Regions from separate parts of the Mus musculus genome. Here regions 1, 2 and 3 are each reported to be linked to region 4. Evidence: microRNA targets listed by miRTarBase, many of them from high-throughput screens and not tested one by one. Region 4 holds a microRNA gene; each other region holds the end of a gene's coding sequence.

Region 1 (6,202 bases), not on the chromosome of region 4:
TGAACTCAGGACCTATGGAAGAACAGTTGGTGCTCTGAACAGCTTAGCTATCCCTCCAGCTCCTAGGGTAAAATGTTTAAGGGTGTGTGCACCCTCCAGGTTCAGTTTCTACATAGGAGAGAAGGATGCTGCTGGAAGTCCTGTGACCAGATCAGGGCAGGGCTTTTGCGTTTCTCCTAGACCCGAACACCTGGAGCCTACTCACACCAACAGAACAATTATTTCAGCCATCATTTATTTTGAGAATCACTGCCCTTAAAAAATAAATAACAAAGAGGAATGCAAGTATTGAAATAACTAGGACTCAAAAATAAAATCTTCATGGTAGGATGTGTGTGTGTGTGTGTGTACAGAGGGCACTGTTTTAGTGAAGAGAAGGTAATATTATAATGACCTTATAGAAATGCATGATCCTAGCACTATAAGAAAATGAGCTCTTTTCTAATTCTCCAGGGTGGAGGGACGACATAGGTTTTAGCATGAGGAATGTTTCACTATACCAGGAAGTCACATTAAGCCCAGAAACACTGAGCTAAAAAGGAAAGACGAGCCGGGAGGAACACAATCTGGCACTCCTTGCATCAATCACCCCCTGGCAGCTCCCACTTTCCCTCCAAAAACATCAACCATGCTAAGGAGGATGCTGAGGATGGAGACTTTGTCCTACGCAAATCACAAAGCTACGTGGTCTATGCAGAATCCACGGGGAAGGGGAGAAAGTGTTTACAGGAGTCTTTGGATTAGTGAATCATCCTGTCTTAGCAGTAGGCGGAGTCAGTGGTGACGTGTGTGTGTGTGTGTGTGTGTGTGTGTGTGTGTGTGTGTGTGTGTGTGTGTGTGTGTGTGGGGTGGGGGCACAGAGGGCCTCTGGCTCCCGAGTCTGGGAAAGATTCTGAAATGAGGTTTTAAAAACCCATCAATGCAACACGTATATTGTTTTATAAAATATACCCAAATCTTCTTACATAACTATTTCATTTTCCTAATCATTGGAGTGCAACTTACTAGTCTAATAAACAATATATGTAAAAAAATTTATGTTTACCTAAAAATTATTTTAAAAATGAAAAACAGCTCAAATATTTTATACTGTATTGTTCTACTATAAATAAATTTATAATATGATGCTTGAAAAACCTATCTAAGTAAGGTCTAGAGTAACTTTAGCCATTCTGAGTTATTTTAAACTAACCGGCCCCTCGTCTCTAAATGGCTTACTAACATGGAATCACAGACCCCTTTAGGGATTACTCCTTAAGGGAAAATGGAAGGGAACAGAGAAACAGTGTGTCCCAGATGTGATGAACTGTGGAACATAAGCAGAGATGTGACTACGAGTCAGCCGTCAGCATCAGCGTGTCAGGATGGGCACAGTGACACACAGCAGTGCTGCCAACAGACCTGCAGGGACCACTGTCAGACAGCTCACATCCCTCAGTATAAACCGCATCCACAAGATCACAGGATGTCCCTACGTGTCAAAATCCAAACTCACTTTTTAAAATGAAAAAAATGGAAAATACTGTTTCTTATTTCAATTCAACATGTATTTCTCAAAATAAGATCCGCTGTGAACATGACTTGACGTTAAACTTTTCATCACTGTTAGTCACCAGGTAAGAAATCCAGTAGACAACAGAACACCCCTCTGTGTGTACAGCAGCAGCGGAAGCTGGCGCAGGAAATCGCATGGGTTTAGTTACCAGTACGATGCTGGCATGAAGAAAATCCTAAGCCAAAAATGTAATGAACTTGTAGGTAATCTTGCCTACCTCACAAGAGTCCCAGCATTTGATGTGTAGGGCTCACTGTCAAGCACCTATCAAGGTCTAATGCAATGGGAAAGCTGTTGGATTGTATTGCTGAGGGTTTTACACTAACTCTTTTATACTATATTTAGCATGTGATAAAACAGTACAAAGATTGGTTTTAATAAAAGTCAAATAAGTATCTGTATTAAAGCTACAAGTATAATTTGTGCCTCAACTGCTAATACAGTATTTAAAATTATACAAACAAACATCCAGTAAACATTATTTTATTTTATGACACTCTGCATTAATACAATAAATATACAAAACTTCCAAACCACTGAAAACATGCAACATGAGAGGGCCACATGGAGGGCGTTTACACAGAACCGTGACATACCACAGGGGCAGCGCAGTAGTACACGCACCTACACAATACACAAACATCCCTAGAGCAATGAACCGAGCCCCAAATCACAAATCACCAAGCAATCGTTTCCAGTGATCAGACCCGAGTTTTAAATAAAACAGTCACCATTTAACATCGCCAACTAAGACGTGACATGGATGCCTGTCCTCGTGCAGCTCGTCTCATGGCTGCAGTAACATTGGGATTGAATAGAAGACGTCAACAGGCTTTCACCAAATCACAGTGCACTGCTGACAGACTGCTGCTGAGAGGACAGCAGGTAAGGGCTTCGAGCCGCTCCCACCTGACCCAGCCACAGACACCACCATGGCTGTAAAGCTCCTTTGTGTTTTCAAACAACATAATCTCTTTCAAACGTGTATGAATCCAAACAATTGGATTGAAAACAGCATTTTCCTTGTTCATACGCAAAAACATAATGTGAGTTATAACTATTCTTTTCCATTTAATAATACCACCTCTGGGGACCTCCACATAATGGACAGGGAACATTCCCAATTTTGAAAATAAAAAACTATTAGCATTTTGTGAATCTCTGATGTGTCTCTTATTTGTACATCAGAGAAGAATAAGCCTGGATTTAGAATATAAGTACTGGTGTTTCTGTGAACTCTTACACCCTTAGTGACCTCAGTGTCCATCAAACCACACTGGATGAAGCACAGTCGCTCAGCAGCCACACATGAGCAGGTGAGAACGAAGGGGAATCCTACTCATGGGGACTCAAAACACAACTCCAAAGTCATACTCTGAATTCTACCTTTTCCTCAATCAAAGAAACATTTTTGGACTATTGTACTTAGTAAATTCCCAAGCAAATCTAGCATGGCCCTGCATGGGCAGATGTATAATCCAATACCACAGACCTCAAGGAACTGCACCCCAGCTCTGCACAGAGTCCCCGACTGCAGCCTTGGGGACAGGGTACAGTGGCTCAGCCACTCACTTCAGCTCATTTTTAAAGGATATCCTGTCTTTGACAGCCCATCTTTGTTTAAAGTCAACTTGGGTAAGTTGCAGCCTATCTATCATTTTGCAATCTAAACTAGTGAGACTTCCAAACTACAACAGTCTGCCTTACAAATGTTCTTGAGACAGCTAATCAGCATTAAAAATGATTAAAAGTCTCAACCCACATCAGTTTGTGCTGCACCATAACAATGTAAATTGGATGTTACCAATAATGAATATATTACTTGAGCTTTCTCTCCATTGCTTGGTGCAATGTTTCACATGGATTTAGTCTGTCTTAAAAGTAAAAGACAGGTACATTAAGAAATCAAGCATATTAGAATCACAAGGGTCTTTTATTTTTAATGTAACTAAAAGTGAGAGGCTAAAAGAAAAATCCCTTAAATACTGTGTGTTCTTTTTATTCAAGGGTTAGGCTAGCCTTAATACCTGTGTCAAAATCAATCTCTCTCTCTCTCTCTCTCTCACACACACACACAAAAACAAACACACACACACACACACACACACACAGCTGCCAAACACAAATCCTAGTTCAATTAAAAAGATAAGACAGAAGAATATATCAAAGTTTTCATACAGTAAAACTTTACTATATGAATACTAAAAATTAAGAGGGAAAAGAAATTATCACTATATTCTATTGCATCAATTCACTACCCTCTCTTTGGATAATGCACTGCACATTATATTAAAGTCTTTATACTCCAGTAAATTTTTACTTAAAAGAAACTATTACAGAAAATCATTTCTGATTCTATAAAGAGCCCCAGATCCTACAACTATAAGCAGTACAGAACCCAAAATACTAATTCATTTCACTTAAGAGACGTGGTGCCCATGCAAGATCAGAGATTGTTATCAAAATAATCAACTAGTCTAAAAATAAAATAAAGGAAGGTAAAATATACATTATCTACTACAGAGCACACAGGCTCTTCTCTGGTGACTGAACCTCATATAAAGCAAGCCAATTTAAAAACACCCAAACTTTTGCTGACCTTGTTCCTTCGTTATTAATAGAGGGGGGAAAAGAAAGAAACATGGTGTCATGTCCAATGTATAGTCTGAATCTCTACTGACTCCTGGAAGAACTTCTGTGGTTACTATCGAGCGCTTTTTAAATCTTAAGTCACATACTCATTTCAGTGTGTCACCACTGAAATAATCTGAGGAACACCATCCCCCAAAAATATGGAGAATATTTATTTAGCAGGTGATAGTTTTCTTCTGTGCAGAGCATGGAAATATTAAGAAACTATTAGGCAAAGTAATAAGACAAGGAAGTTTCTCTGGTTTTTAGACCATGCACATGTGGATTGGAAATACCCATGCTTTTGTGTATTGTGTGTTTCCAACAAAAAATATCTGTAGAATACAGTAACTGGAGAAAAAGATACAGTCCTAAGGAAACAGAGAACTGCTTCCAGGCTCGCTACATCTGGTTACCCTTGAAGGCGTTCTGCGCCGCGCTGGTTGCTGCGGTTGAGGCGGCGTTTGCAGCCGCTGTCTGAACAGTTTTATTGGACATCACTCCCGTTGCAAACTCTTGCTGGGCCTTCTCAAAACTAGCACCTGTTGTGCGGTACAGTCCATGCACCTGAGGAGGCAGAACCAAGGCGAGATGGTGAGATGCGATCCACACATTTGCTCAAACCACCCTGCCGTGTGCGAGGACCAGGCAGAGGTCAGAGGGGAGGTGGGGGGAACAGAAAAGAAAACCCATGAAATCAGCTTTTTACCCTAGGTCCAAAATAAACACAGGAGATGGCCATAGTGGGATTAACGGCGACACAGCGCCTTCAAAGACAGTAGCTGCCCTGTTCGGTCGAAGCAGACCAGGTTAGTCTATGCACTGGAGTACCTCCCCACGCAATGGTGTCGGACACCAACTTAACTGGTTAGCGGGACTCCCTCAGCACTATTCTGAATCATACGCTTCCAACCCCACACTCCTTACAAATGAAAACTACAGCTGAAGACCAGACATTTCAGGAAGTCTTCAAACAGTTAAAACACCTAGATTATCTTGGTTCTTAAAATGAACTAACTTCAAAACTTCTTTTGAAATACAAAAAGCCATTAGTAACTAGTGTACTAATGTGGGCATGAATATTTATGGGCAAGTTCCCAAATCCCATAGAAGACATAATGGAACCCAGGTTCTTCAGGGAATCCAACCTGTACTGCCTTCTTCTCACTTCAATGTTATGCTGTCCCAACTCTTAGTGATTGATTACTCAAAGGGAGATGTTCAGAGCTCCTGACAGCTCTCTGTGGCTCATTCCTGTCTTACTAACTGGCTCCTTTAGAACATCTACCACTTTTGCCCTGAAACACTATCCAGTACTTTGATAGTTCACTGTAGAAACAGAACAAACACAATAAGAAACAACTGATAGAAAATCAAACCTATTTGTGAAAGCTAAGGATTTCTGTCTATGAAGAAGCTCAGGAGATATAAATTCTTTCAACAGTTGGGCAGCGCAGGCTTAAACAACAATACCATGGCAGAAACCAAGGGACAATGAGCGTCCAACCCAACGATAACCTGGTCTAACTCGGGTAACCTGGGTTATCTCAGCTGTGAGATCTCAGAATGAGACTGAATCCTCAAAAGTACATTTACATCATCACAACAAACCAAGACTGCACAGCATGTCTAGAGGGGTGTGTGTGTGTGTGAGAGAGAGGGGGGGAGGGGAGAGGAGAGGAGAGGAGAGAGAGAGAGAAAGAGAGAGAGAGAGAGAGAGAGAGAGAGAGAGAGAGAGAGAGAGAGAGAGAGAGAAGAGAAGAACCGCCTGGCAACGCCTCTAGTCCAGAGCTGGGACTATGCAGACCTTCCTGAGGGCACGAACCGCCCATGAAGAGACTGACCCCTAGTGGTGACACGTTAGAGCTACATACTCCCTACAAGGGGGTCTGTGTGTTTATTTTTGATAATTTATTATTAATTTTTAAGTCAGTGTTGAAGAATCAGTACTCGGATCTCAGTTTACATCAGAGGTAGAAAAGACAAGAGGATTGATGGTTGCTTCAAATTATAATT
Region 2 (6,202 bases), not on the chromosome of region 4:
ACATGATGGGTTCTGGAGTCAGGACTGTGATAACCGAGTACTGTGATAACTAAGTACTGTGTTAACTGAGTACTGTGGTAACCAAATACTATGATAACTGAGTACTGTGATAACTTAGTACTGTGTTAACTGAGTACTTTGTTAACTGAATACTGTGACAACCAAGTACTGTGATAACTAAGTACTGTGGTAACCAAGTACTGTGATAACCAAATACTATGATAACTGAGTACTGTGTTAACTGAGTACTTTGTTAACTGAATACTGTGACAACCAAGTACTATGATAACTGAGTACTGTGGTAACCAAGTACTGTAATAACCAAATACTATGATAACTGAGTACTGTGATAACTTAGTACTGTGTTAACTGAGTACTTTGTTAACTGAATACTGTGGCAACCAAGTACTGTGATAACTGAGTACTGTGGTAACCAAGTACTATGATAACTGAGTACTGTGATAACTTAGTACTGTGTTAACTGAGTACTTTGTTAACTGAATACTGTGGCAACCAAGTACTGTGATAACTGAGTACTGTGGTAACCAAGTACTGTGGTAGTGGGAGTACCGTGGGGCTGAGTACCATGGTACTGTGAGGGTCTGAGGAAGGTGCAAGCACATTGGAACACTAGGTTTACCAGATATTCTCTTCTCTGTAGGATGGTTCAAGACATAGAGTCAGCAGATGTCTCTTCTTTGTGTCCAAAAGAACCTGGAGGTTTGTATGGCTCAGAGAAATGCGGGTGGAATGTATAGAAAGGGGCTAGAGAGTTGATCTTTTTTGTCTCATTCAAAAGACTTGATCCCATGAAGACATGGCAGTCCAGGACCCAGGACCCAGGACCCAGGGCCTTTCCATTTTTGGGAATCCCTTTTGGCAATGTCCCTACATATCTTATATATGACATCTCTCCATATGCCCCCATCCTACTTCCTGCCTATAGCTTCATGTCTTTTGTGTCTTTGCCTTCTCTCCACAGAACATCCGGTAGTGTTTGAAGTTCCAGTGGCTACGGTGGGCCACGTGGTCCTGCCGTGCTCCCCCAGTTCTGCCTGGGCATCCTGTGTGTGGCACCAGCCCAGTGGAGTGACTTCGCTCACCCCACGAAGGGATGGGCTAGAGGTGGTGGTGACCCCAGGGGCCATGGGGGCTTATGCTTGCGAGTGTCAGGAGGGTGGAGCCGCCCGTGTGGTGGCTGCTTATAGCTTGGTGTGGGGCAGCCAGAGGGGGCCCGCAAACCGGGCCCACACCGTTGTGGGGGCTGGGCTGGTTGGCTTTTTCCTGGGTGTTCTAGCAGCATCTCTCACTCTCCTCCTGATTGGTCGCCGTCAGCAGCGGCGGCGACAGAGGGAGCTTCTAGCTAGAGACAAGGTGGGCTTAGATCTGGGGGCTCCACCTTCTGGGACCACAAGCTATAGCCAAGACCCTCCCTCTCCTTCACCTGAAGATGAACGGCTGCCCCTGGCCCTGGGTAAGCGGGGCAGTGGTTTTGGTGGCTTCCCTCCACCCTTCCTGCTGGATTCTTGCCCGAGCCCAGCCCACATCCGGCTCACTGGGGCTCCTCTGGCCACGTGCGATGAGACGTCTATCTAAAGCCAGGAAAATGACTGCCAGCCATGAGCAATCTCTGGAACTAGCGGCTACGAAGACCAGGGTCACTGAACCTGGGAGACGATCATGGCTGCTCCATTCTCTTGGAGTCTGTGTGATCACACGTCAGTGTCTGTCCTCTGGACCTGGATGAGCTGAGGGCCAGACCTTTGCCTGATTCCTGATTCTCATGAGAGATCAACCCTGTAGCCCTCTGCTATGGCCTCTTGTCTTGGGCCCATCATCAGCTTGTGGGGTGGAGCAAGGACACAGGCTCTGATTTGCTTATGGTGGGCCCCCGGAAAGAGGGAGCACTGCGGGGTGGTTGGAGCGCGTGTGCCCTGCATCCGTGTGGTGCCTGTATGATGATTTTCCAGTTTGCTGACTCTGGGGAGCGCATGATCCCCGGACTGCCTTGAGATCTCTCCCAACTCAGTTTCCCTTTGTCCCTTGAAGAGTGTGTGTCTATACACTGGTGTGCCTCGAAGACCTGTCCAGGTGTGTGTGGATGACAGGGCCGGTGCCTAGGTGCTTTTGGGGGGTCGGAGAGGAAGGTTGGAACGGGGGACAACTTTACCCTCGGTAGCCAGTGAGGGAAACCACACGACCCCATCACCCCACAGCGCTTCTTCAACTTTGAGCAAAGTTCCCAAAGTGACCTTCTGGTGGGAAGGGCAGCAGGACACGTGGCCCCGTCCTTCTCCTCATCTTTCTCCTCTGGCTGCCACCACTGCCGTGCCACCGCTGCTTTTTCCCTGGCTGGAGTGGAGGCTGAGCCCTCTTTCCTTGGCTTCCATTTAAAATGAACTTCACAACATTCTAGCTATTGAGGGATGACAAAAGGAACCCAGAAAAGTGTGTAGGAAATTACAAGCAGGTTCAAGAAGATTTGCCTCAGTGACTTTCACCCTTGCCCTAAAGCAGGAGTCCCCTAGCAGGACTCCCTGAAATTGTATGCAAAGAAATGTCTGTCCATGTGTGGCATGTGTGCGTGCGTGCGTGTGTGTGTGTGTGTGTGTGTGTGTGTGTGTGTGTGTGTGATGGCTTTCATCAGATTCTCAAGGCCTTAATGAGGTTAAAGGACCATGGTCCATAGTCACCACACTTGGGCCACATAAATGGAGGAGGTGTTGCTGTGAGGCAGTTCCTCCCTGGCCTGCTGCCTGAGGCCAGTCCCTGGACACACTGCTGCTGGAGATCCCACCTCTCTCCAGTCCTCCTCGGAAGCTAGTGAAGCTAGGCTCTGCACGTGCTTGAAGACACCATCGCCTCCTTTCTTGCTTCGTTATTCCTGTGTGCGCTGCATCTGCTCCGTCCTGCTCTTGGCCTGTGAATGTGCCTCGTCCATCCCTGGTGAGGGACCTCGAACCCCGGTGAGGATGCAGCCCTTTCCAGTTGAAGTTTCTGTTCTACTTTCCTTGACAGCAGCCTGTGAATTACTCAAGAGTCCCCTTGGGTTTGGAGTTACCAGTGGCTTTGAGTAGGATCTTTGGCACGTAGTCTAACCTAGGGACATTGGTTATTCATCTGTAAAGTGGGGATATACCTACCTCAGGGTTGCTGCAAGGATCAAACGAGGAAACGTATGAACAATAAAGCATTACCCAGAGCAGCGGGCGTGGTTATTGTAGCTGTTGCTTTATCATAGCCGAACCACGTGATCACCATGGCAGGCACTCACTGTGCACCCCATGCAGTGGAAGGTGGACAAGCCTTCACCAACATCTGATCTTCGATCATCTCAGGATGGGTCTTAACCACCCATATTTAGGCTTTACTCAAATCTGCGATTTATTTTTTTAAAAAATTATGTGTATATGTGTATGTTAACGTATGTATACGTGAGTGCCGCTACCTCAAGAGGCCAAAAGAGGGCAATGGATCCCCGAAGCTAAAGTTAGAGGCAGTTGTGAGTTGCTTGATGTGTGTTTTGGAAACTGAACTCAGACCTTCTGAAAGAGTAGCAGGTGCCTTAGTTGCTGAGTCATCTTTCCAGCCCTCTAGTCTTATACATGTTGAGTGATGTTGATAGCCAGAGTTTCCTTCTGCTAAACCAGGAGCCACTGATGTCATCTTTGCTTCTCTATGGAAGGGACACATGTACTAAGTCTTTGTGCTATTCCACTTCCAAGATGGACGTGGATTTTACTCCAGGAAAAAAGAGATTGAAAACACATGCACACATACACACACTCCAGCTAAGAAGGAGATTCTGAAGTAAGGATTTTTTTTTTCAAGACAGGGTCTTACTACATAGTTCAGACTGGTCTTGAACTTACTATGTAGCCCAGACTAGCCCAGAATTTGTGATTCTCCTGCCTCAGTTCCCCAAAGTCTTGGGATTACAGGTATACACTGGCATGCCTTTAAGAAGGCTAACAGTTCAGTAAATGGAGAAATTCATGGCTCACTTAGTAGAGAAGTCAGGAATAAGATACCCTCAGGACTGCACAAAGGACTTTAGGAGTCAAGGTCCCAGCCCCTGGAATTAGGATTCAGGGTTAGAGGGAGTCTGTCTGTCTGCCTGTCTGTCATCTTTGCTTGTCTTGCCTGATTTCTTTCTTTCTTGCTGTAAATGGCCCCACTCAAAGAAGCAGAAAAGGTGGCTGCTGCTGAGATGACTTCATGAGCAAAGGCACGTGCTGCTGGCTTTGATCTCCAGAACCCACGTGGCAGGAGAACTGACTCAAGTTGTCCTCTGACCTCTACATGTGTGCTTTGGCACACATGTGCATGCACATACATGCACACATACACAAAATAAATGAATGTTAAAGAGAAAAAGAAATATGGCTGCTTCCACATCCTTTCAGCCACAGATCTTAGAAGCCAAAACTACTTTTTCAGCGTAAACCAAGAATCACAAGGACAGCTCTGCTCATATCACATGACTCCATTGCACCAATGAGTGTGTCCAAGGAAATGGGATACTGTGATTGGCCAAGCCTAAGTCACATACGTGTCCAGGGAGGGAAAGATTACATTATCAGAAGAATGGACATAAGGAAGTTGGATAAAAAAGACAAAAACAGAACAAACAAACAAAACACCAGTTGTAGTTTACTAAAGGTATTTAGATGTAGACAGTGATCTTTCAAAAATTAATGCTAAATATGTTCCTTTCAAGTTAAAGTTTTCTAATGGCTTCTTATGACACCCAGGAGAAATTCCAACCCTTCCTTCTAATTTAGAACTGTTGTTCTTACTTAAGTTTTTTTTTTTTTTACATATATATTACTTTTTATTTTTTATTTATTTTTATTTTTTTCTTCCCTCTCACTCAAGGTGGGCACTCATTGTGGACACGATAAGGCTTTTCCTACCATATGCCAATTAAGCTCATTATTGGTGGAAAGCCTGGCTTCTTCTGGCTATTTAGGCTTTATTTTAAGTATCACTTCCAGAATGAGGACCACCCTGATCACACAGTATAGATGCGTGCTTGTCTGTTGCTGGGATAAAAGACCCTGACCAAAAGCAACTTAGCAGGGGAGGGGAGCTTACTGGGAACACAGTCCATTAAGGTGAGGAAGTATGGCGGCAGGAAAATGAGGATGGCCTGGCAGTCAGGAAGCAGAGCAACCATGTTTCACCCTCACAGAGAGGGGAGAGAAAGAGAGACAGACAGACAGACAGACAGACAGACAGACAGACAGACAGACAGATACAAATACACACAGAGAGAGACAGAGAAACAGAGACAGGCAGAGACAGACAGACAGAGACAGGCAGAGAGAGAAACAGAGAGACAGAGGCCTGGTCCCCAGTGATTAACTTCCTCCAACAAGGCTCCAAACCTAAACGTTCTATAACCTTTGCAAACAGCACCACCAAGTGGCAAACAAGTGCGAGCCTGTGGGAGCCATTTCATATTTAACCTACAACACTACCTACACATCCTTCTCAGCATAGCATTTATCATTAATGTGCATTTCCTCTTTTTGGCTTGTTTATTCTGTTAGAGTTATTTTCCTTCTTACTAAGTCTGTACTTCATATTGTCCCGCACCATAGCCGTTTAGCATAATCCTAGATGCACAGTGCCTAAGACGTGCCCTACAGAGACGTCAACAATATTAACTGAGTGAGTCTGTGTGACCATCGCTGACCTGGCTCGCTGAGTCATGGCAAGAACTAGTGTGTACTCACTCCTGCAGAAACTCACAAGGCTCCAGCTGCCCCGGTTCCACAGCGCTGAGTCATGGCTGCTGGGAATCCTCTGTCTCGCAGGCTGACTGACTTAGTTGCTTTTCTGTTGCTGTGGTAAAACATCAAACAACCAAAAGCAACTTACGGGAAAATCCTTGGTTTTGGCTTTCGGTTCCAGAGGGATAAAATTCCACCGTGGCCTGGAAGCCTGGCGGGCGTGGTGACATGGCAGCAGGCAGTGACTGGAGCAGAAAGCTAGGAACTCACACCCCCAACCACAAGCACAAACTTGGGAGAGTAAACTGCACGCGGGGAGAGGCCATCTAAGCTTGACCGCTGACCCCAGTGACATACAAGACCTCGCGTCTTAAACCTCCCCAAATAGCACCAGTGACTGGGGTCTAAGTTTTCTCCCACCTGAGCCTATGGAGTTCACATTCAAAGCACCACACAGACGCTCT
Region 3 (6,202 bases), not on the chromosome of region 4:
AGCCTGGCAAGACCCTGATTCAACACAAAGGCAATGAGCAAACAAAAAGTGGCAGGCACACTGTTAGGACACGGGCAACAGGATCTGACTGCAGGGACAGCCTGGGCAGCAGTGACCACTGAGGAGAGGGTGACTGGGCAGAGCAGTGGGGGCGGAGCGACAGAGCCAGACTTCACCAATGACTTCCCAGGCAAGTAACTGGTCACAGATATTTATATCATGACATCTAGGTCTAAAGAGGAGGAGTTGATGCTGAGGGTTCAGCGGTTTTGAGAGCTAAAGATGGCTACTTGTCCTCCCTGCTTGTCCATTTCTCTTTTAGATTTAAGAGATGCAAAAAAAAAAAAAAAAAAAAAAGGGCTGGTGAGATGGCTCAGTGGGTAAGAGCACCCGACTGCTCTTCCGAAGGTCCGCAACCACATGGTGGCTCACAACCATCCGTAATGAGGTCTGACTCCCTCTTCTGGAGGGTCTGAGGACAGCTACAGTGTACTTGCATGTAATAAATAAATAAATAAATACATAAATAAATCTTAAAAAAAAAAAAGAGAGATGCAAACTCTTAAACCTAACTGCTGAAGGGAAGGAGTGGAGAAGAGCCATAAGCAAGGAGTGTGCTCAGAGGAAACAGGGTCTGTGTTGATGGAGGAAGACAGACATCTGGATCAGAGGGGAAGTTCAGCTTCCAGAGAGCACTGGAAGAGGCAGAGACTGGTGTGGGAGCCGTGGGGGGAGGGGCTCTAGTCCCAGTCTGCACTAGGTGGCCCTTTTCCTATGTGTAAATTAGGTGCCAGGAAGCGGGCAGAGTTAAAGTTGACAGTGAATTCTATTTTTAAGGCTTTCCAAGCCTTAAGGAGCTCTGGTCCCTACAAAGGACTACCCAGTGCCTTCGAGGCTTTCTTCAGTATTTAATAGAAACCTACTTAAGCAAAATGGAACACAAAAGCACATAGCCAACAAATCAACAATTTTTACAACAAATTTTACAAGTCAAATCACTTAAACACCGATTACAAATTCAATTAAATTCTCCTGAACATTTAAATGGAATTGCAAGTCTAATAGGTCAGCACTTTTAAAAGCTTTGAGCATTTTGATAAAGCAAACACATCACTACAGCATTATACAAGTTTTGTGTGTGTATGTGTGACAGAGTTTATGTAGCCCAGGCTAGCCTTCAACTCCAGATCTTCCTGCTTCTGTCTTTTAAGTGCCAAGTTTACAGGTGTGTACCATCACACTAGGCTGGATTGCTCAGTTTTATTTTGTGTCAAGACAAGCCCTGGCTATCCTGGAACTCACTCTACAGAGCAGGCTAGCCTTGAACTCACAGATAACCACCTGCCTCTGTCTCCCGAGGGCTGGGATTAAAGGTATGGGACATCCATTGTCCAATTTTAAACCTCCACTCTCACTATCATACAAATGAATTTGTAGTTATGAAGTGGATACTATCTCACTCAGACCAAGTTTGGATTTGGTCTTCAAATGTAAAAAAGAGGGCCACACGGCTATGTGGCCTAAAGACAAGACATCTGTTTCTGGGTCAAAAGAAAAGAGGGGCATTTTCTTCATGGCAAGGAAGTCTTGGACTATCAACCAATGAATTCTTGTTTGGGTAGGAACTGATTTACCTTCTAAAATGATTAAAACCAGAGTGTGTGTGAGTGGAGGAGCGAGCTGGAGAGATGGAGTAATGGATAAGAGCTCTGGCTGCTCTTGTAGAGGATCCAGCTTACACTCTCAGCATCCATAAGGTGGCTCACTGCCACTGCAGTTCAGTCTCAAGGGATCTGAGGCACCCCCTCTGGCCTCCAAGGGAACTGCATGTATGTGGTGCACAGGCAAAACACTATAAAATAAAAATAAACTAAAAAGTAAAACAAACCAAAACCAAAGCCTATGTTGATCTTCTTTGTCTTGAGTATCTCAGTGGGTGAATTGTGCCAAGTGTTTTCTCAAAACATCATCTTGAGATTTTAAGTCTGTGCTATGCAGATATCTCAGAGTCTATACTCTAATCACCAAGATATCTCAATATGCGTTTACATGGCATGGGGACTTTGCAAATACACTGCTGGTGGGGACCTTAAAATAGAAAGATTGCTCTGTATATTCTCGGTGGGTCCAGTCTAAGCATCGAATTTTCAACCTACAGGAACTTTTCCTATGGACATCAGAAAGATGTGGCAGGTTTAGGCTGGAGCCAGTCAGAGGGCGGGGCTGTGCTGTGTGTGTTTTAGCTGGAAAACAGAAGCTCCTGAGGATATCAGCACTACAGCTCTAAGGGATTGAGCACTAAATGAATTTGGAAGTGTCTTCTTCTCTCTTTCCTTCTGGGAAGGAAGGGTACCACCTGCCACCTTATTTTCAGCGTTGTGAAACTTTATCAGAGAATAGTCACGCTTTTCCAGACTGTTGACATATAGAAGGTGCAATAAATAAATAAAGAGCATCGTGTACCTCCCGGTGTTAACGGGCTGATCTAGTTTATTGTATTCTGAAAAACTTCCAATGTCCAATTACTCTTCTTCCTTACTATAAGATCCTGATTTTGGATGTGATGGCCTGGAATAAAGTCTACGGGCTTTGGAGGTGGTCCAGTGGTTAGAACACTTGCTGTGCACACCTGTTGGCCTGAGTTCATATTCCAGCCAGCCATAGTCCATGCATTTGTAATCCTGTACTTTAAGGAGAAGGCAGAATTCCAGAAGGTTCCAGCTAGCCTGGTGTACGCAATGAAAAATTAGAGTCCCTGTCTCAAACATAGTGGGAGGTGGGGTCCAACACCCAAAGTTGTCCCCCCTCTCTCTCTCTCTCTCTCTCTCTCTCACACACACACACACACACACACGTCCCAGGTGCATGCACATGGAAAATATGACAAAAAGGTAAGATTGTGAGATTGTTTCCTTGCCTGTCCTGGCTTGGTGTGGCCAAGTGTGACTCCATTCTGGCGATGAGATGCAATCAGAAATGTGTGTAGGCAGCTGTCAGCGGTCGGAAAACCTTTCAAGGAAGGAGCTGTGTTCTTTCTTCTCTCCCTTTTTCCAGCGCTGCTGGGATGTAATGCTGACCTGCACGAAGCCATCTTGGGCCATGAGGCGGCATGCCAGAGAGGCATCCCAAAAGGGAAGACTGGGCTCTGTGGTTCTAAGCAGCTGTTTATCCTGAACTCCCCAGCTGCAGACTCTTCCATGTGAGACAGAAATATTATCTTATCTTGTTTAAACTATTCTTCCTGGCCACAAAGTAAGGACAAATGCTGAAGGAAAGTGCTGCCCCTCCCCCTCTTGTCTACTCCCTACCCGCCTACCCCAGTGCTGGGGTTCAAACCCAGTGCTTCATGCGTATTAGCGTCTGCCTCTGAGTGACACCTCCATCCTTATTTCTTTCTTTGTTCTGTCTCTGTCTCTCTGTCTTTCTTTTGGACAGGTTTTACTATGGCTTGCCTGAAACTCACAGAGATCCACCTGCCTCTGTCTCCTGAATGAACACCTAGATTTTTATTTTAAAACCATAAACTTGCCGGGTGTGGTGGCACACGCCTTTAATCCCAGCACTCAGGAGGCAGAGGCAGGCGGATTTCTGAGTTCGAGGCCAGCTTGGTCTACAAAGTGAGTTCCAGGACAGCCAGGGCTATACAGAGAAACCCTGTCTCAAAAAACCAAAAACCAAACCAAAACAAAAAACCACAAACTTGCCCTGGTATTTATTTAGCACGAGTACTTTATATTATAGCACTTTAAAAACGTTGACTGCTATGCCCAGCTTTGAATTTATTTCTCTTCAGCATGCTGTAGTCCTGCAGTCCCTGTTTCACACCCTCACGAACAGGACAAGTCACTGTTTTAACAGCCGCAGCTCCCCAGTTGTTCTAGGTAGGTCCGTTCATGCTGGACCATTGGGACAACTGGGTAAAAAGAGTTTCTGATGTTGGTGGGATACTAGTTGGGGGAGATGAGTCATGGACTCCCAGGTAACAGGAGACCTTAAAAGAAGAGTAAGACAGTAGTAGAAGTAGAGGAAGAACGATGCGTTTGGGGGGGGGAGCAGACTACAGGGAAATTAGCTGGGAGACAGCTGGAGGAACTACATGTCGATCAAGAGTAGGGAGTGACTGAAATTCAGATTTCCAAGGTGGGGCAGTTCTAGGAGGTGGCTGAGGGAGAGGACATGTGGTTACTGATGACTCATTCGTGACCTTTGACTCTGCCTCCAGGTCTGTATACCTGCTCTAGTTTCCCCTATTAGCCAGAGCAAACACACACACACACACACCCAAGCCTCTGGTCAGGCAATGAGGGCCAGAGTCCATTGGGACCTGGCACAGATGGACGGCAGGATTCCTGCCTTCTGACTGTCCCAGTTTACCTGCAGAATGTTTACATGTTCAGGGTAGGCACATGGCCCCATCCTGTCTCTCCAGCTACGGATGCTCTGTGGCCTTCCCCACACTGCTTTTTTGTGGTTGAGCTGTCAGCCCTGTTCACAGGGTGCTGGCCGAGAGCTCTCATTGCTGGCATTCCTCACAGGATGGAGCCCGCAGGTACTATGAGGCTGGTCCATCTGGGCCCCTGTGGGAGCCTGTCAAGCTTACCTGCGCCACCTGTCACCAAATAGCGCTGAGCAGGAAGCTGGGGTGGAGAACAGGAGGAGTGGAGTCTGTGAAGAAGTGCAAGCTTCCCTCTTAGCAAACCCTGCCTTAAACTGGAGCTGCGGAGGGGCAGGAGGGGCAGCAGGAGACTGGGAGGGCGACCTGAGTGAGGCGTTTTGTCTAGAGGTTCCGTAGCTCTGCTCTGCTCCTAGCCTTGGGTGTTTAACTATGATCTCATGCAAGGAGGTGGGCCGTAGGCAGCCTGGAGGGGGCCTTTCTCTTGCTCCAAAGATACTTTGTTTCTGGGGCAGGGAAGGGCAGAAAGATGCTAGACATCTCCGTTTAAAGGCTTGGGTCCTCAGAGTGGGAAGATGAGGAAGCCTGAGAAGCTCGAATACTTCCAGCCACCCAGAAGATTCCCCCGACGCAGGCGCAGGGACACACGGTCCCCCGGGTCCAGGGGAAGCAGCACAGAGCTTGTGGCTGCCTCTCGGGTCACATCAGGGTCATTTGCAAAGGCTGAGATGACCGGCCATGTGTTCAGCATCAGACTCACCTGGGGAGGGGAGCCCAGTTAGCATCTATGTCCTAGTCCTTAGCTCAGGACACCCCGCCCCCCATCCTCCCAAGAGTTTTCTTTTGGGAACTTGAGGGTCAGTGGGCTCTCCAGTGAGCACTGAGGGGTGGCCAGTGTTGGGTTCTGTACATCTGCCATACCCTGCTAGCCTTTCCTCCCTTGCTCCTGGTCCCTGGGATACAGGTCCAACAGAAGGGCTATCCAGGGATGTGCTGCGGTCCACTATGACCCTCCCTTCCCCCCGGAGGTGGACTGGCACTTAGGTCACCTGGACAGTTTGGCGGTTGTACACCTTGACCACGTGGAATCGGAAGCTGTAGACTCCACGGACAGGGGCCACGAAGCAGCCCGAGGTCCGATCAAAGCCCTCGCCCTCATTGACCAGTACCTGTGGGGAAGCAGATTGTGTTGAGAGGGATTCTGGGTGCCGGGAGCTCAGGAGCATCACTGGGTTGGCATTTGTGCAGTGGGTGAGGAGAGAAGGGGTGGCAAACGGGTGTGACAGGAATGTGTAGAGTCAAAAACTATGAGGAAGGGCTACGGTGCTGTGTGTATGAATGAAAGAAGGCCAACCAACGGTCAGTGGCCATCTTAGAGGAAGGTGGTGCAAGAGATGCAGGTAATGGTTTCCTTGGAGTCCGAGGGATGCAAAGGGGCTTGGACAGTAGAGTCCAGGTCCTTGCATGTCTTCCGGACAGAGGCAGAGGGATTACCTGGTCGAAGTAGATGGCACCACTGGTACCGTTGCCGGTTTCTCCTGCTGGTTCATGGTGATGGCTTCGGACTGCAGCAAACGCCACTCGTCCTGGGGGTGCCTCTCCCAGGGCTGCACCCCCAGGTCCTCCTGCAGTAGGTCGGCCTGGCTCACAGACCACCAGGCACTCCCCCTCCAGTAGGACAGGCTCTGACCCTTCTTGAGCCCACCCAGCCTCCAGGGTCAGAAGCACCAGGGCCAAGGACAGCTTGGGTTTGTGCCATTCCGTCCCCATCCTTGCTAGGTGCCTCTGTAACTCACAGATTTTCCTGTC
Region 4 (6,202 bases):
GAACAGCGGAAGGAGATCCCGCAGGGTCCCCTTGTGCCAGTGTGTATGGCTGCCCCGCACGAGCACGCCAGGGAGGGCTCTCCAGTAAGGGTCAGGATCCATTGACTTAGGCCATAAGCAGAGTATGGATTCTGTGTTCGCCACTCATTTTAAAACTCTTGGAGTGTGACCAACATCAGAATCCCTTCTCTGATTTTGGCAAGAGTTCACACAGGCTTCTAGCCTTGCTGCAGGGCAGCAAGAGACTGGTCACATGCAGTGTGTCATACGGGGAAAAGACGCCACGGGCAGCTTCATGTAGGTGTTCTGGAAACTGACCTGTGGGACAGAGGCTCTTTCCCCAGCTGGCATCACCTCCTGGAAATGCTCCTAAGAGGCACACAATGGCGATGATGGTGGCTAACGGTAGCTACAAGATCCAGTCAACAGTATGGGGAGGGAAGCTTGTCCAGGTTCTTCCTCCAAGCACTTGTCCTGGAGAGAGCTCCAGCCACTGACCAGTTCCAAGACAATGATGTAGCCTCTGGAGTCCTTTGAGGTAAAGATCCTTTTGGAAAGAGAGCCACCATGAAACCTGGTGCTCATCACACCCCAGATAGTATATTAGACCCTGGATACATCCACTCTAAAATGACCTCCCGTACGGGCCTAGCCCTTCAGCACCAACAATGGGTACGTCTTTAAGCCTAGCCCTGGGAGCTGGCAACATGGAAACCCAAGGAAGGGCAGGCCCTAGAATGTTCCAGGTACCAACTGCTCGGCAAGAGCAGACTCCCCAGAACCAGTGTCTTACCCGGAATGTTTCATGAGGATCGAGGAAAGTGAAGAAGACTGCTCAGTGGGCACGTGCTCTGGCACTGGTACCCAGTCACATCCTCCAGGTGACACCCGCCAGCTTCTGAATACTCCATGAAGCTCTCTGTAAAGGTTTGGGATGGGAAAATAAAGTTTAGCCACATTAAAAAAAAAAACCCACATGGTGACCAGTCCTTCTTATCACCCCACTAGCTCTAGTCTATATCCATAGATTTCCCCATCTCAAACACCACACCCACATTGATTTTCATAAAAAAACATGCATTTCTTTCCTTTTTTTTTTTTTAAAGTAAATTCCATTAAACTAATCCAATTCCCTGTTTAGCTTCCTTGACTGTGCTGTTGGGCCATTTTCATTTCTTTTATTTCCCTTGTTATTTCCTCAAATCATTTTCATTAGGATCAATTCTTTCCCATTTAAAAATCTGAACGAAGATTTGATTCCTCAATGTGCGTTCATCTACCACAAATATTACTGCTCATAGCATCCGCCACTACTGAAGCTGCCCCTTGCGGCTGCCATGTCTACAGAGTACTGTTTCCCCAGGTCAAATGTCGCAGCTCAAATGTTGTCAAGAAAATTGGATTCTTCTGCCAATTTGTAGTCAATTGAACACATTTTCCTCCAAGCTATTCTGGTAGTTTGTGGTGTTATTTTGTGATTATTTTATCACTATTATTTAATGTAAACGGGATGAAATGCTGGTCGCCTCTATTCATTTCCTAACCCATCCAAAAATGGAGAACAAGGTTTGGTGAGCGATGAGGACGAAAGAGAAACAGACAGAGGTGTGTTGAGGGGGTGGGGTGGGAGGGGGGAAAAACAGATGGTATGTGAGCACTCCTGACCCAGTGAGTTGAGGAGAGGAAGGGGGTGGGGAGGGAAGGCTGCCATTGTCCTTGACACTGTCAAAGGACAGAGTTCATTTTGTCAAGGTATCTTCAGAGTAGAGATAGAACAGCGAGTGTGTCTGCAACTAGGGGGGCTAGGTGCTGGTGTGACAAAGAGGATTCAGGCTGAGAAGAGTCAGGGAGTAGATATTGGCATCTCTCCATTGGTTCCTGGGACTACATGTCTGGTCACGTGGCGTTCTGAGCCACACCCCTTCCTGACCATCCCCATATCCACACCTTCCATTCTAGCACATGACATTTGCAGAGACCCCAGAACTTTGTAACGTGTCCCCAATGCCACCCCAAGCAGGCTTTGATACTCAAACAAAAGTTGCCTTTGTGTGATTCAACATCAATAAAGCGAATTCACCAAGGGCAACCTCTGCTCAAGAATCAAACGTCAGCACAGGCCGAGAGTTGAGCAGGGCGCCTCTTCCCCAGGCAGCCCTGCCTCCCTCGGCTCTGGCTCCCTGACTCCCACCCTCTAGGGAGGCTGGCATTACCTCCGATGAGCCCCCAGGTCCAACTGCAAAGCAGACTAGCAATGGACTGACTTGCAGAGTTCTCTCCTGCCTACAGGTGGCCAGAGACTTGTACAGACATCCAGGCTTTGGCCAGAAACTGGTCACTCACCCAGAAGCACACGGACACCAAGTCTGAATCCCAAAGTGTTTCTCCTAGAGAAGTCCTGAGGTAGGTTTGACATAGAAGAAACCATGACTCTCTGTGTAGTAGGGTCCATCCTGCCCACCAATGAAGGCTGACCTAAAAGAGGATAACTCCCTTTCCAAGGCAGTATCCTGAGAGACCGCACAGACAAACCAGCAGCATCAGGGTACAAGGTGTCTGCACCGTCCTCTATTCTCTCTGGCTTCTGAGAGGCCTCAAAGAGGGTTCAACAAAGAAAACATGTCCAACTGCCATTCACTCAGCATCATTCGTCCTGTGTGCACCTACGAGCATTAGATGGGGTTTCTGAGCTCAAGGAACCTGTGTTCTAGAGGGTGGGAAGAGATCCACAGAGTAAGGACATTCATGCAACAACTATCATTATAAAAGCCAATGGTTTTCCAACTTTCTGGGGGAAACCAGGCACTCTCAAAATACTGAACACACATTCAGCGTGAATACATACCTTATAAGCAGCCATTAACACTCTCAGACAGACAAACGGAGGCACAGACAGGTGACAGGCTGACTCATTCAAGGTCACACCATTAGCAAGCATCGGGTGGTAATGAATGCTGCTGGGTTCTCTCCTTCCCAAGGGACACTGGAGCAGGGAAAGGACATCAGCATTCTCATGTCACTAAATGTCACTGTGAGCCACCTCTCCCCATTCACCAGCCTGACATCTGGTTCTACTTCTTAGAGATCTTCCCTGGACTGGTGAAACTGGTAAGGAATGAGTAACTGAGTGGCTTGTAGCTAGCCCCACCCCACTGGTGACTGACATTTGCTCTTCCCTACAGCATGCCTAACACTGTGATGTTTTCTCATCTGAATACAGTGCTTGACACAATGCACTATGCTCTTGATAGCCATGGCCAAACAACGATAGAGTCACCGAAATAGTTGGTGTCATTTCTGGGAAATCTTACTTTGACAACCAGGTGACATAAGTCCCAGACAGCACTTAGTACAGGGAACAATTTATTTCCTTAACCCGCACAGTCGAAGAAGCTCTCCCAGGAAGATTTTAGTGCCGAAAGGAGATTGGCCATGTAATACTCATCATAAATAAAATGAACACACCATGGGCAACCTCCATTCGAACACTTGATTTCGAGAGCTTGTGTTGATACATCTCAGGCATCTGAGGATGGAGTCCCTGAGAGTTGGGCAGATGGCTACATATTCTAGCTATATGACATATGCCATGTGGCCTAGGGGTCACTTCTTGTCTCCTGCATGTGGTGGTTAGTATCACTGACCAGAAGAAGCCACAGGAGCTTGCCACGCCCACATGGATGTGTCAGTTGTGAGCAGTTGGGAAGGCTTCTTATCGGAACACCACCAGGGAACTCAACTGCCTCTTCTAGGGAGCTCAGACTACATGGCCAGAGGGGCTGATGTAGTCATCATGGTAGATGCTGTGAATGCAATTCCTAGTTCTGACCTTGACCTTTCCCTAATATGTTTGAGGGACACATTTTACACCTTAGAAGGTGGACTTTATGTGATTTGTCAAAGTAATAAAGTGGATGACTACAGAATACTCCAGATCATTCCAAAGTATGTCCCTCCCTGAGTCCACCAGAGAACCAGGGATACACTGGGCATGGACAGCATACCTCTTACTAGATCCAACCATGGTGAACCATCCCTTCACTTACCCTGGAAAGACGCTAACACCACAGTCCCACCCCAGAAATTCCTCCAAGGCGGGATTTGGTACTGAAAAATAGGTCAACCGTGTATGATTCGTCACGAATAAAGCGAAGGCAACACGGATAACCTATCTTCAAGCACCGCACGTGGGTACCAGCATCTCTTCTCTGAAGCTGGCTTCCTCCAGGAAGTCCCCCAAGCACAGTGAACACAGCAGGTTACTGCATTGACTGTGAGAGGGCTTGAGAAGGCATCACGCACCCCAGGTCCAACCCATTCCTCCCCAACCCCTGACACCCATGGTTATCTAGTCTTGGCACCACTGCCAAGGATACAGTGTCTAAGGGTCCTTACAAGGGTCTGGTGATGGAGGTCCTAGATGCACAGATTTCATCCTGTGTTCATCATAGGAGTGGAAAGTTCCTAGCTTCATACTGAGATTGAGGCAAACACCAATGACCCTCGCCTTACATAGGCTTTGTTTCTAGGGATTTCCTGAAAAGTTCACAGAGAGGCTGACTTGGCAATACTCATTATAAAGGTAAGGTCAGCACTAAATGGCACTGACACTCAAGTCATGGCCTCGTCCCTTGGGGTGAGCAAACTTTCAGGGTGTTTTCCTAATAATAGGTTGTACTTTTTAGCTTATGATCCACTGAAAATGAGACAACAAAGAAACGAACACTAAAACTTGCTTGGTTGACAGTAAGTTCACATAGCTACCTGACGACAGTGGGCCCATGTCCATCCCAAAACCTGCCTGATGATGGTGGGTTCACGTCCACTCTGGAATCTCCCAGATGGTGGGTCTCCATGTCCATCCTAGACCTTGCCCGATGACAGTGGGTCCATGTTCACCCCAGAAGCTGGCATTGCAATTAGGCATCCTGCCAAGGGGGAAAATAACAGTGGGAAAGGGGAACTGATACCTTTAATCAAATAAATTCATGATGCAAAGGATGCCAGAGAGGGATGCAGGGAAGGTGGCAGTAGGGGGCGGAGACTGACTAAAGAACTACACAGACAATTTGGATCTTTTAAGTCAAGAAAAGAACCGCAGAGAACGTCTTTTAAAGGCTACAACTAACTCTAATAAAGAAGAAATGAAAATTACAATCGAGAAAAAAAAATGATGGGAAAACACTGGCTGGGTTATCATCTGGCAAAGTCACCAGTGCCCAATAGGAAAGTCTTAGAACCCAAAAAAAAAAAAAAAAAAAAACCAAACAAACGAGGAAGGACTGTAGTTCAGACATCAGGTATCAAGCAGGCTACACTAAGGCTATGACCAGCAGACAGCAAAGGAGAAGGAACACAGGAATGCTACCCAGGTTAACCCACTGTTCAGCTAAAGGCTCAACCCAGTAACAAGACTGCATAAGGAAAGCGCCACACATGTGTAAAAACTCTGGGGAGACAGTCACCCACAGCTCAAGCTAGTCGGTGTATAATGCACAGCTACATCTGAAAGAAAGGAAGACCCTTGTGTTAAGGAAGAGAGAACTTAACTCAAAACACGCTCTCTCCCTGCCCTAGGGACCTATGGGTGGGGGCATTCTGGAGGGTTCCCAGGATATGGATTAGAGCAAGGACAGAAGCTATGCGTGGGTATGCCTCAGTGAGTGGGTCTTCTCTGTGCGTGCGTGAAGGTCTGAGTTCCACCCCACCCCACCACCCCCCATTTTGGAAAAAAGAAAAAAGAAGAGGAGAGGGGGCAGTAGAGAGAGGGCAGAGAGGGAGGAAGGGTAGGTAGCATCTGGGAGCCATCCTTGTAGGAATGACAAAAATCCTCATTGCACTGAGATACACTAAGAGCTGAGAAATAGAAGCCCCCGTTTAAAGCAAACAAGTAGCCACGAGTGAAGCTGTTTGTAATACTGAGGACCCGTCTCAAACACTTGTAAGACTTACATTTGCATTTTTTTTCAACAGAAAAATTAAAACACATTGCAACAGTAAAGAAAGCAATGTCGTGGGGCATTTCATATCTTGTAGCAGTCAGAAGCAGCAGAAAATCTGATTGAGCTACTGAATGCTTTCAACTTAAGCTTTCTCAGCTGGGCTGGGATCTTTTTGGACACATCTATAAAGTCTTCCTGACATCGTTCCTTAGGTTAAGCACAAGTGAAATGATGATTTATATTTGAAATAAAATGATTAG

The links. The annotated mature microRNA mmu-miR-377-3p reads AUCACACAAAGGCAACUUUUGU and lies in region 4 at 2,035-2,056, opposite strand. An mRNA with a match to its seed (bases 2 to 7 or 8) in the 3' UTR can be bound and repressed. Matches are read on the target gene's strand: a 7mer-m8 pairs with bases 2 to 8, a 7mer-A1 pairs with bases 2 to 7 and ends in A, and an 8mer does both.
Region 1: the mRNA of Scamp1 is a reported target of mmu-miR-377-3p. Seed matches in the 3' UTR shown: 7mer-m8 at 3,618-3,624.
Region 2: the mRNA of Sema4f is a reported target of mmu-miR-377-3p. Seed matches in the 3' UTR shown: 7mer-m8 at 1,706-1,712 and 7mer-m8 at 2,628-2,634.
Region 3: the mRNA of Cbln3 is a reported target of mmu-miR-377-3p. Seed matches in the 3' UTR shown: 7mer-A1 at 3,819-3,825 and 7mer-m8 at 2,831-2,837.

The regions. Positions count from the first base shown.
Region 1 is chr13:94,199,411-94,205,612 of GRCm38, forward strand. Scamp1 (secretory carrier membrane protein 1) reads right to left here. Exons shown (of 9, transcript NM_029153.1): 9 at 2,023-4,753. The coding sequence ends at 4,589. Among named protein-coding and RNA genes, the nearest start is that of Scamp1, 83 kb to the right of the region's middle.
Region 2 is chr6:82,908,885-82,915,086 of GRCm38, reverse strand. Sema4f (sema domain, immunoglobulin domain (Ig), TM domain, and short cytoplasmic domain) reads left to right here. Exons shown (of 14, transcript NM_011350.4): 13 at 662-720; 14 at 983-3,202. The coding sequence ends at 1,596. Among named protein-coding and RNA genes, the nearest start is that of Sema4f, 28 kb to the left of the region's middle.
Region 3 is chr14:55,878,025-55,884,226 of GRCm38, forward strand. It overlaps Cbln3 (cerebellin 3 precursor protein), which reads right to left. Exons shown (of 3, transcript NM_019820.3): 1 at 5,888-6,202; 2 at 5,443-5,562; 3 at 896-5,153. The coding sequence starts at 6,163. The coding sequence ends at 4,956. Among named protein-coding and RNA genes, the nearest start is that of Cbln3, 3.1 kb to the right of the region's middle.
Region 4 is chr12:109,736,407-109,742,608 of GRCm38, reverse strand. It overlaps Mir377 (microRNA 377), which reads right to left and starts at 2,099; the gene lies at 2,032-2,099. It overlaps Mirg (miRNA containing gene), which reads right to left. Exons shown (of 8, transcript NR_028265.1): 2 at 4,802-4,928; 3 at 794-919; 4 at 319-547. It overlaps Mir154 (microRNA 154), which reads right to left and starts at 4,176; the gene lies at 4,111-4,176. Mir496a (microRNA 496a) reads right to left here and starts at 3,490; the gene lies at 3,412-3,490. It also overlaps Mir541.